Oryzias latipes: one gene and its partner. The protein of the gene in region 1 interacts with the protein of each later gene in a biochemical or structural test. Links are inferred from orthologs where the notes say so. Each region holds a gene or a part of one and is shown on either strand. Other genes may lie near its edges. The genes, in order: nfkb1 and map3k8.

Region 1 (4,472 bases):
CAGTGACTACACCCAGGCGAACTCCTTACTGATGCGACTACACCCACGCAGAGGTCCAACTGAAGCAATTACATCCACGCAGACGCTGTACTACACCACACAGACGCCTTCCTGCAGTGACTAAACCGACGCGGACTCCTTACTGATGCGACTACACCCACGCAGACGCGGTACTACACCCATGCAGACGCCTTCCTTCAGTGACTACACCCATGCAAACGCCTTCCTGCAGTGACTACACCCATGCAAACGCCTTCCTGCAGTGACTACACCCATGCAAACGCCTTCCTTCAGTGACTACACCGACGCGGACTCCTTACTGATGCGACTACACCCACGCAGACGCGGTACTACACCCATGCAGACGCCTTCCTTCAGTGACTACACCCAGGCGAACTCCTTACTGATGCGACTACACCCACGCAGAGGTCCAACTGAAGCAATTACATCCACGCAGACGCTGTACTACACCACACAGACGCCTTCCTGCAGTGACTACACCTACGCGGACTCCTTACTGATGCGACTTCACCCACGCAGACGTCCAACTGAAGCAATTACATCCACGCAGACGCTGTACTACACCACACAGACGCCTTCCTGCAGTGACTAAACCGACGCGGACTCCTTACTGATGCGACTACACCCACGCAGACGCGGTACTACACCCATGCAGACGCCTTCCTTCAGTGACTACACCCATGCAAACGCCTTCCTGCAGTGACTACACCCATGCAAACGCCTTCCTTCAGTGACTACACCCACACAGACACCTTACTGATGCGACTTCACCCACGCACACGTCCAACTGAAGCAATTACATCCACGCATACGGCTTCCTGCCGTGACTACACCCACGCAGACTCCCCACTAAAGCAATAACATTCACGCAGATGCTGTACTACACCACGCAGACGCCTTCCTGCAGTGACGACACCCACGCGGACTCCTTACTGATGCGACTACACCCACGCAGACGCGGTACTACACCCATGCAGACGTCCAACTGAAGCAATTGCATCCACGCATACGACTTCCTGCCGTGACCACACCCACGCAGACTCCCTACTAAAGCAATAATATCCACGCAGACGCTGTACTACACCACGCAGACGCCTTCCTGCAGTGACTACACCCATGCAGACTCCCTACTAAAGCAATAACATCCACGCAGACGCTGTACTACACCCACGCGAACTCCTTACTGATGTGACTACACCCACGCAGACTCCTTACTGATGTGACTACACCCACGCAGACTCCTTACTGATGCGACTACACCCACGCATACTCCTTACTGATGCGACTACACCCACGCAGACTCCTTACTGATGCGACTACACCCACGCAGACTCCTTACTGATGCGACTACACCCACGCAGACTCCTTACTGATGCAACTACACCCACGCAGAGGTCCAACTGAAGCAATAACACCCACACAGCCGTGGTACTACACCCATGCAGACGCTTTCCTGCAGTGACTACACGCAGACGTCCAACTGAAGCACTTACATCCACGCAGACGGCTTCCTGCCGTGACTACACCCATGCAGACTCCTTACTGAAGCAATTACATCCACGCAGACGCCCTACTAAAGCAATAACATCCAGGCAGACGCTGTACTACACCAAGCAGACGCCTTCCTGCAGTGACTACACCCACGCAGACTCCTTACTGATGCAACTACACCCACGCAGAGGTCCAACTGAAGCAATAACACCCACACAGCCGTGGTACTACACCCATGCAGACGCTTTCCTGCAGTGACTACACGCAGACGTCCAACTGAAGCACTTACATCCACGCAGACGGCTTCCTGCCGTGACTACACCCATGCAGACTCCTTACTGAAGCAATTACATCCACGCAGACGCCCTACTGAAGCAATTACATCCACGCAGACGCCCTACTACACCTACCTGCAGAGACTACACCCACAAGTTAAGAAGATGCTTCACCTGCCAATGTGGAGGTCTCATGACCTTTTGCATCGTGTTCTCATTGGTGATTCCAGAAGCTGCTGAGACAAGAACTTAAGCGAGGTTCTAACAGTTTGTTCTTTAATTGCAGGAACATCTGTGAAAGTGATGATGATGACAGTAGAACCTCCTCCAAACTGAAGAGGCAGAAACCGTCACCATCGACAGGTTTGAATCAACCTTCCCATAACACAGAACCCTCAAAGTTCTGTCTGGCAGTTCAAACCGAAGCAACAACAACAACAACAACAACAACAACAACACAGAGCAGCAGATAAACAAACCAGCTGCCTATTTGTAAACAGTATGGGTGGGGGCGGGGATAGTCCAGGACTTTTTTATGAAAACAAAAATGTTCCCATCCTTCGTGCCAATTATTAAAGCGTTTTTTTCAACTTCGGAATTTGGGTAGGAACATCTGATTGTGCGCGTGCCTGCTGCGCGGGAACTCGCTCAGCCTCCTGAACGCCGCGAGGCTCGTTGTTTACGTTCTTTTAGAACACATTTACACATTTGCTGTCGGTCCCACGGTGAGCCCGTGCGTGGGCTCTTCCAGTCTGACTGCTGCGTTCACGGTCCGGTCCAAACAGTCAGAGATTCCGCCACGTGTTAAACTTAAACCGCCATGAGCCGACGTTCCCTCGTTTCCGAACGTTTTCCGGTCAGATTCTTTATGGTTTGTCTTTGTTGCCGTACTGCCGCGAGCACGCGACCGTCACCTTATTAACACAATAAACTTGGAATAAAATGAGTGTATTTCTACTTTTTGCCTCTTTGTTGTGGTAAAGTCCGCGCGCGAAAACGAATGTCCGAAGAACAAGGAAGTGAAAGGAAGTGGCGTGGTCTGTTCTGACCCGGTTCTTACCTGTTCAGCTCAGGTGAACGTCCGCAGGTGAGGGTTCTCGTGCCGCTTCACCTCAGGGGCTCTCGCTCATTTTTTTGTTTTTTTTGTTTATTATTCTGTCGGAGCGAATTTCTGCCTTTTTTAACGGCTATGCGTCATCACACGACACGAGCGCGTGCCTGCAGCTTCTAACAGCTAAAACGAAGAAACAAATGTGCGCGAGAGAGTGACGTATTGGAGAGCGCGAGCGCAGGTGACAGGGCGCGCGCTAAAGTGAGAATAAAGCAACTTCCTTCCTCTTGGAAATTCCCCGTGACGTAAAAGGAAACAGAGAGCGCGGTAAAACGAGGAGGTGTCACTCTGAGCGCAAAAGCGAAAATGTCCCCAAAAACTTTTCTGCGACACAAACCAAAGAGACGCGCGGAGGATCCACAAACAGAACCAGAACAACAAGACAAACCGAAACCATCAACAGGATCCAGAAAGAGGAAGAATGTAATGTTAGAGACAGATCAGGATTTCCTTTTTAAAAACACACCAACCATATTTATAGACGGGATAGAATTTAAGCTATGGTGTTAATTTCAGGTTCTTAAATGGTTTATTTTTTATCTTCAGTGAGCCGGGAATATTTTTAAAATGTAAGGATTACTGAGGGGAAGAACAAACTAAATATCTGTGCGGACTCTCCTTCATTCTGGATGGATCCACAGCAAAGAAGGTTTCAAAGGAGAAAACATCTTCAGCTTAAATGATGTCCAGACAAGCCTGTAAAGCAAAATACCTTTTCCTGAAACAGATTCAACCCTGAAGGATATTTGTACGAAAAGGTAATGTAGGCTCTGGGTGGTCAGGAGAAACTCCCAGATGAGGCAGGTAGGAGTGTACTTGGTCATCAGGACGGAAGGATGACAGGAGAGTTGGTGGTGGAATGAGGAGGTGCAGGAGTTTCTACAGACTAAAGGCCCGTACACACCGGGACGAATATTCGCCAGGCGTTATTCGCCAGCGTTTTTCGCCACGTTTTTTGTGTTCACACCCAGGCGATTTTCGCTGACGATGAGCCGAGCGAACATGCAATTTCATTCCCTGACGTTAGATGGCGCTTAATGTAAAACAGAAATACTCCTGTACACAAGGTGGCGCTGCGCAACTTTACGATTCTTAAAGTCGCTTTTCACTCTGAAAAAGAGAGCAAGTATTTACGCGCTAGTCAGAATAATACAAAGAAAACATGAATATTTCAAGCACCAGTAGCTCCAACTGGTGCTTGGTAAGGGGATATTTTAGAATGTCCGTCATTATTTCTTTGCGGCAGTGTTGACGCTACTTGGCGTCTAACTTCTTCGCTGGTATGTGTGCTCAGCAAGGCAGTTTTGTGTTTGAGCGCCCCCAAGTTGTGTTTTACTGTAACTTCAGAAGCTCCAGACACGTGAGCAAAAGCGCCATTCTCATTGGTCGAATAGATTTCGACGAGACGCGTCGGAAAAAAAAAACGAACCCGAGGCGTTTTTTTTTTTTGACGCTTTGGCGCTTGGCGTTTTTTCGCGTCGGTGTGCACACTCACATTGGTGCCCTTTGTTTAGTCACGAGGCGTTAAACGTCGGCGAAAATCGCCGGCGAAATTCGTCCCGGTGTGAACGGGC
Region 2 (4,379 bases), on another chromosome or scaffold:
GATAATTGTTCAACTATACTTAACTAATTGCAGATTTCCTACAAAATGTATAGGAAATATCTAAATCTAAGAAATACCTAAAAAGCCCATCTGTCATATCTGAAATATGTTTTTGTTTTGTTTTTCTAATCTAGCAAGTTATGCTAAATGGAAACAAGTATGCCCTTCAGCAACCTTTAAACAAATTGTGACATAAATATGTTTGGATCTAGCACTGTCTATTTAAAAAGAGCTGAGGAGTTTGACCTAGTAATTTGGGTCTCATGCCAAAATTGTTATGCTGCAAAATGGTTGCAAACCTGATTTATTCACCACACATCCTTTCATGATTTGGGTTAGATATCGCTCTACCGTTCCAACCTTTCAGTGTATTAGTTTCAACCGTGACAGTGATGGTAAAAGTACAAGTAGAGGATTTATCAGTCTTCACCCAGTTTTCCTAAATTAACATGATTAAATCAGACCCAAACCAGGATGCCACCACCACCATGCTTAAATAGTGCTGCTGTGTTTTTGGTACTAGCATGTGAGGGTTTGGATCTTACTTTCACATTTGAACTAATTCCTTGTTTTAATAATATTGTTGCATTGCGTTTGTTTTGATAAAGTTCGTTTCCTTTTAACAAAGCTAATATTTCAGATTGTGTTTCTATGACAGTAAAGTTTGGTGCTTAGTGCACGTTTTGTTACTCATTCTGTTATCTGTACTTTTTTTTTTTTACAACTGACTGTACTGCCACATGTAATTCTGTAATCCCGCAAATCAACTTTTCTATCAGTCCTTTAAGACCGTCGTAATCCCGAATAATAGGTGTTATTCATCTTGTTATTTCAGATATTATTGTGATTAAAAACAAAGTCAACTTCGCCCACTGCCGCGTCTGTTTCATAAAACCTGAGCTTTTCTCTATGGAGTTCATACTGTCGCGGCATCTTTCAGGGCTAGCCTCCATGCTAACATGTTTCCAACTCCACGACACTCACCGTTTTCGTCTCTTCGAGCTGACTCCGTCCGTGCAGCAGTAGTGTTAGTTCCAACTCGTCTGTGGATAACCGTGTCGGTCCTCCGTGAGCATCTCAACAGGCTGGCTCTGCCCCAAACAGACAACCTGCACACGGGCAAGGAGGACGCCATGGCCTCCGGAGCGAAGCTGAAAGGCGCATGCGCACAAACTCATCTACGGCGAGTGAGAGAAGCCATGAAACAGCGCCACAAACCCCAAAAAACAAGTTTACAACTTTTTTTAAATTAAAAATAAAAATACAAAAAAAATGCATATTTTTTTAATTGAAGCATGATTACTCGTGTTTTATTAATTATTATTTTAACCTAGAAAAATGGGAAAGATAAAGAAAATAACAAAAATTTCCTTCTTAGGAAACAAGAAAAGGGAAAACGAAACCAAGACAGGGCAAAGCATTGGAGTCTGACATCACAGCACGAACCCACGCGCACCTCCATTGTGTTTACTTCCTTCTCTAAAGTAGTCAGCGGTCTCTCACGTCCGCCAGTTCGAATAGACAGCCGACGACAGCAGACAGACACGCATCATGGAGACGCTCTGAGAGAAACTACTGTGAGTTTTTGCCTGTTTCTTTTCTTTTTTTAAAAAAATTCTGTCATGTTTAAATAGCAGATACTCTTATTGTTGTGGACCATCATCATAAAAACCCATTTCTTAAACTTTTTTTTAAATTAATTACAACAACGCTATTATTATGTTTATAAAAGTTAAGACAGAATTGGCCTTAAAAAATTATAATTACATATATATCATTAAACTGATGTAACATTTTGTTTGTCACAACACAATTGAATGAAAAATGACTTAAATGAATGTTCATGTTTTTTGGAAAAACTTTCAAATACTAAGCATAGATAATCATAAACAGGAGTGAAGGTCCATGCTGGCCTGGGGTTTCCCAGCTTACATCTGCCTTTTTCCTTGAAAAACAGTGGTGTAAGCTCCACCCAGCTGCACTCAGCCTGTTGCAGCACAGCACAGAGCCTCAGAGTACTGGCTGCACATGCTGTAGCCCTGACTGCTCCCTTCTGTGCTAAAAATGGACTCTTGCTCTCCACTTTGACTTTAGGCTGAGAAGGACGAGCAGAGCATCAAAATGGATTACAAATACGACACTGGACTGGAACTGCTGCTGGCGCACATGAATGTAGAGGAAATCATCAACGCCGCAGAGACTCTTTATCAGCTTAGGGAGGAGGAAGAGGAGGGAGGCTTATCATTTGATGAAGAGGGTCTCTCCCAGGAGGAGATGGATGAGATCGAGGAGACAGAGGAGATGGTGGCTGAGCAGGAGGACGCGGTCAGCGGGGTTCGGTATGGGACAGTGCCAGACATCCTGGCCTTTGTAAACCTGCTATCCAGCATGCAGACGCCCCTCCTGCAACACCTGCCAAAGGAAATAGGAGTTCTCCTAAATAAGGTGATATTTCTTTTCTGTTAAAAGTAAAAACTGTATAACATTTCAAATGATTTGACTTTCGTAACCACTTTTCCTGCTTTACAGAAGGACATGGCTGTGAAAAAGGGCCGATACCAGATCAACATAGATGTGCTTTTGTTTGCTTGGAGGTTGACCTACAAGAATCCCGGCTCTGGCCTCGTGCCCAAGGGCTCATTTGGGAAAGTCCACTTGGCTCAGGACACCACCACTAGGAAGAGAATGGCTTGTAAGCTGGTGAGTTCTGCCTGAGGTGCACCTGCAACTGAGGCTCTCAGCTTCTCAAAACTCGGGTCCCCTGCTGAGAACGACCCGTGCAAGTACGGCTGCAAAGTTGCTCATGTGCACTCGACACATGACACTTGCAAAGTTTTCCTTTGTCCTAAAAGAGGAACAGTGCGCTGGAAAGAAGAACCAAGTTAACAAAAAAAAAAAGGGGGGTGAAGATTAAAGTAAGCAAGGAAATTCTGCGTTGCCCTTTTACAGCTGATCTGGGGTAAATTGCAGGAATTTCTCAGCTGTAGAGTTTAGAATGATTTTCAGCTATCATCAGAGTATAATTAAAGTGATTCCATTAAGATGCGAACTGGAATTAATTAATAGAATCCTAGCGTAAAACAAGAGCATGAAACGAAAATATGTTCTCAAAGAAAATGCAATAAAAAGACGACATAAAATTGTTCCTGTAATTTATTCAAAAATTGCTTTGATACTTTTCTAAACCCCACCCATTCTCCCCCCAGATCCCCTTGGAGAACTTTAAGGCGGCTGACGTAGAATTCCAGGCCCGCTTCCGCCACGACAACATCGCTGAGCTGTTCGGCGCTGTCCTCTGGGACCAGACGGTCCACCTGTTCATGGAGGCGGGAGAAGGAGGCTCCGTCCTGGAGAAGCTGGACAGCTGTGGGCCCATGAGGGAGTTTGAGATCATTTGGGTGGCCAAGCAGGTTCTGCGGGGTCTGGAGTACCTGCACTCGCACAACGTCATCCACCACGACATCAAGCGTGAGTATGCAACACTTTGCTAAAATGTCAATGGACCTCCTGCAGGCCGAGGAGCAGGAAGCCGTCATTTTGCTTGAGCATTCCTTACGTCAGAGGCAAACCGCTAAAGGATGTCGTTTGGGGAAACAATAGTGGAGCACAAGAAGGAGTGATTCACGTAAAACAACCACAAACCATTGACATTCGACTGACTTGATAGTATTATTTAAAAAAAAAACCTACTCATATCAACATTTTGCTGCCGTATGACATTGTGTTTCTAGGCTTCTATCATTGCCCCATTCTTTGATGCAGCTTAGAGCAAAGCATGTCAGTGATCAAAGCCAGAACGGTCTTGCCACAGAGTGGAAATTCCAGGCTTCAAGCTGCTCTTTTGCTGTTTAAGTCTGGGAGTAGCAGCATTGTGCCTCATGCGTGGTTAGTGGTGTTTGTCAACACAAGGCTCTGACAGCATGATCAGGCTGTTGCCGGGAAAGGGCTTTCCCTCACCCTGAGCCCTTTGCTTACACACCCAGTGGCCTGACCCCGTTAGGCCTTGACATCTTTGAAGGTTTCGTGGCCTTTGCTTTGTTACAATCAAAACAAGCTCAGGAGGGGGAGGGGCTGAAAACTACAAACCTGAAAACTCTAAATGCCATCGGCTGCAGCAGAAATTCCTCAAGTTGCTTAGACGGTGTCTTCGAGTCGGTAATTTGTGGTCTCTGTCACTTCAGCCAGCAACATCGTCCTGATGTCAGACAAGGCCGTGCTGGTGGACTTTGGTTTGGCGGTGCAGATGACGGAGGACGTCTACAGTCCAAGAGACCTCAGAGGAACAGAGGTAAGAAAACTAGACACATGCACTCATTTAACGAGTCAGCAGACTTCTAGGCTCTAAATTACTTTATGGACTAGTCAGCACTCGCCTGTCT

The links.
Region 2: the proteins of nfkb1 (region 1) and map3k8 form a complex in vitro, tested with the Homo sapiens proteins (2 studies listed by BioGRID and IntAct, with this or other methods). The link is inferred for Oryzias latipes from reciprocal best matches to the Homo sapiens genes NFKB1 and MAP3K8.

The regions. Positions count from the first base shown.
Region 1 is NC_019868.2:30,825,284-30,829,755, reverse strand, and holds the start of nfkb1 (nuclear factor NF-kappa-B p105 subunit), read right to left. Parts: upstream 3,103-4,472; 5' UTR 2,848-3,102; intron 1,942-2,847; exon of another isoform or gene 1,923-1,941; intron 1-1,922.
Region 2 is NC_019878.2:7,520,373-7,524,751, reverse strand, and holds the start of map3k8 (mitogen-activated protein kinase kinase kinase 8), read left to right. Parts: upstream 1-1,412; 5' UTR 1,413-1,577; intron 1,578-2,094; 5' UTR 2,095-2,121; coding exon 2,122-2,445; intron 2,446-2,529; coding exon 2,530-2,700; intron 2,701-3,206; coding exon 3,207-3,468; intron 3,469-4,181; coding exon 4,182-4,288; intron 4,289-4,379. Other genes in the region: mtpap (poly(A) RNA polymerase, mitochondrial), read right to left, coding at 985-1,135.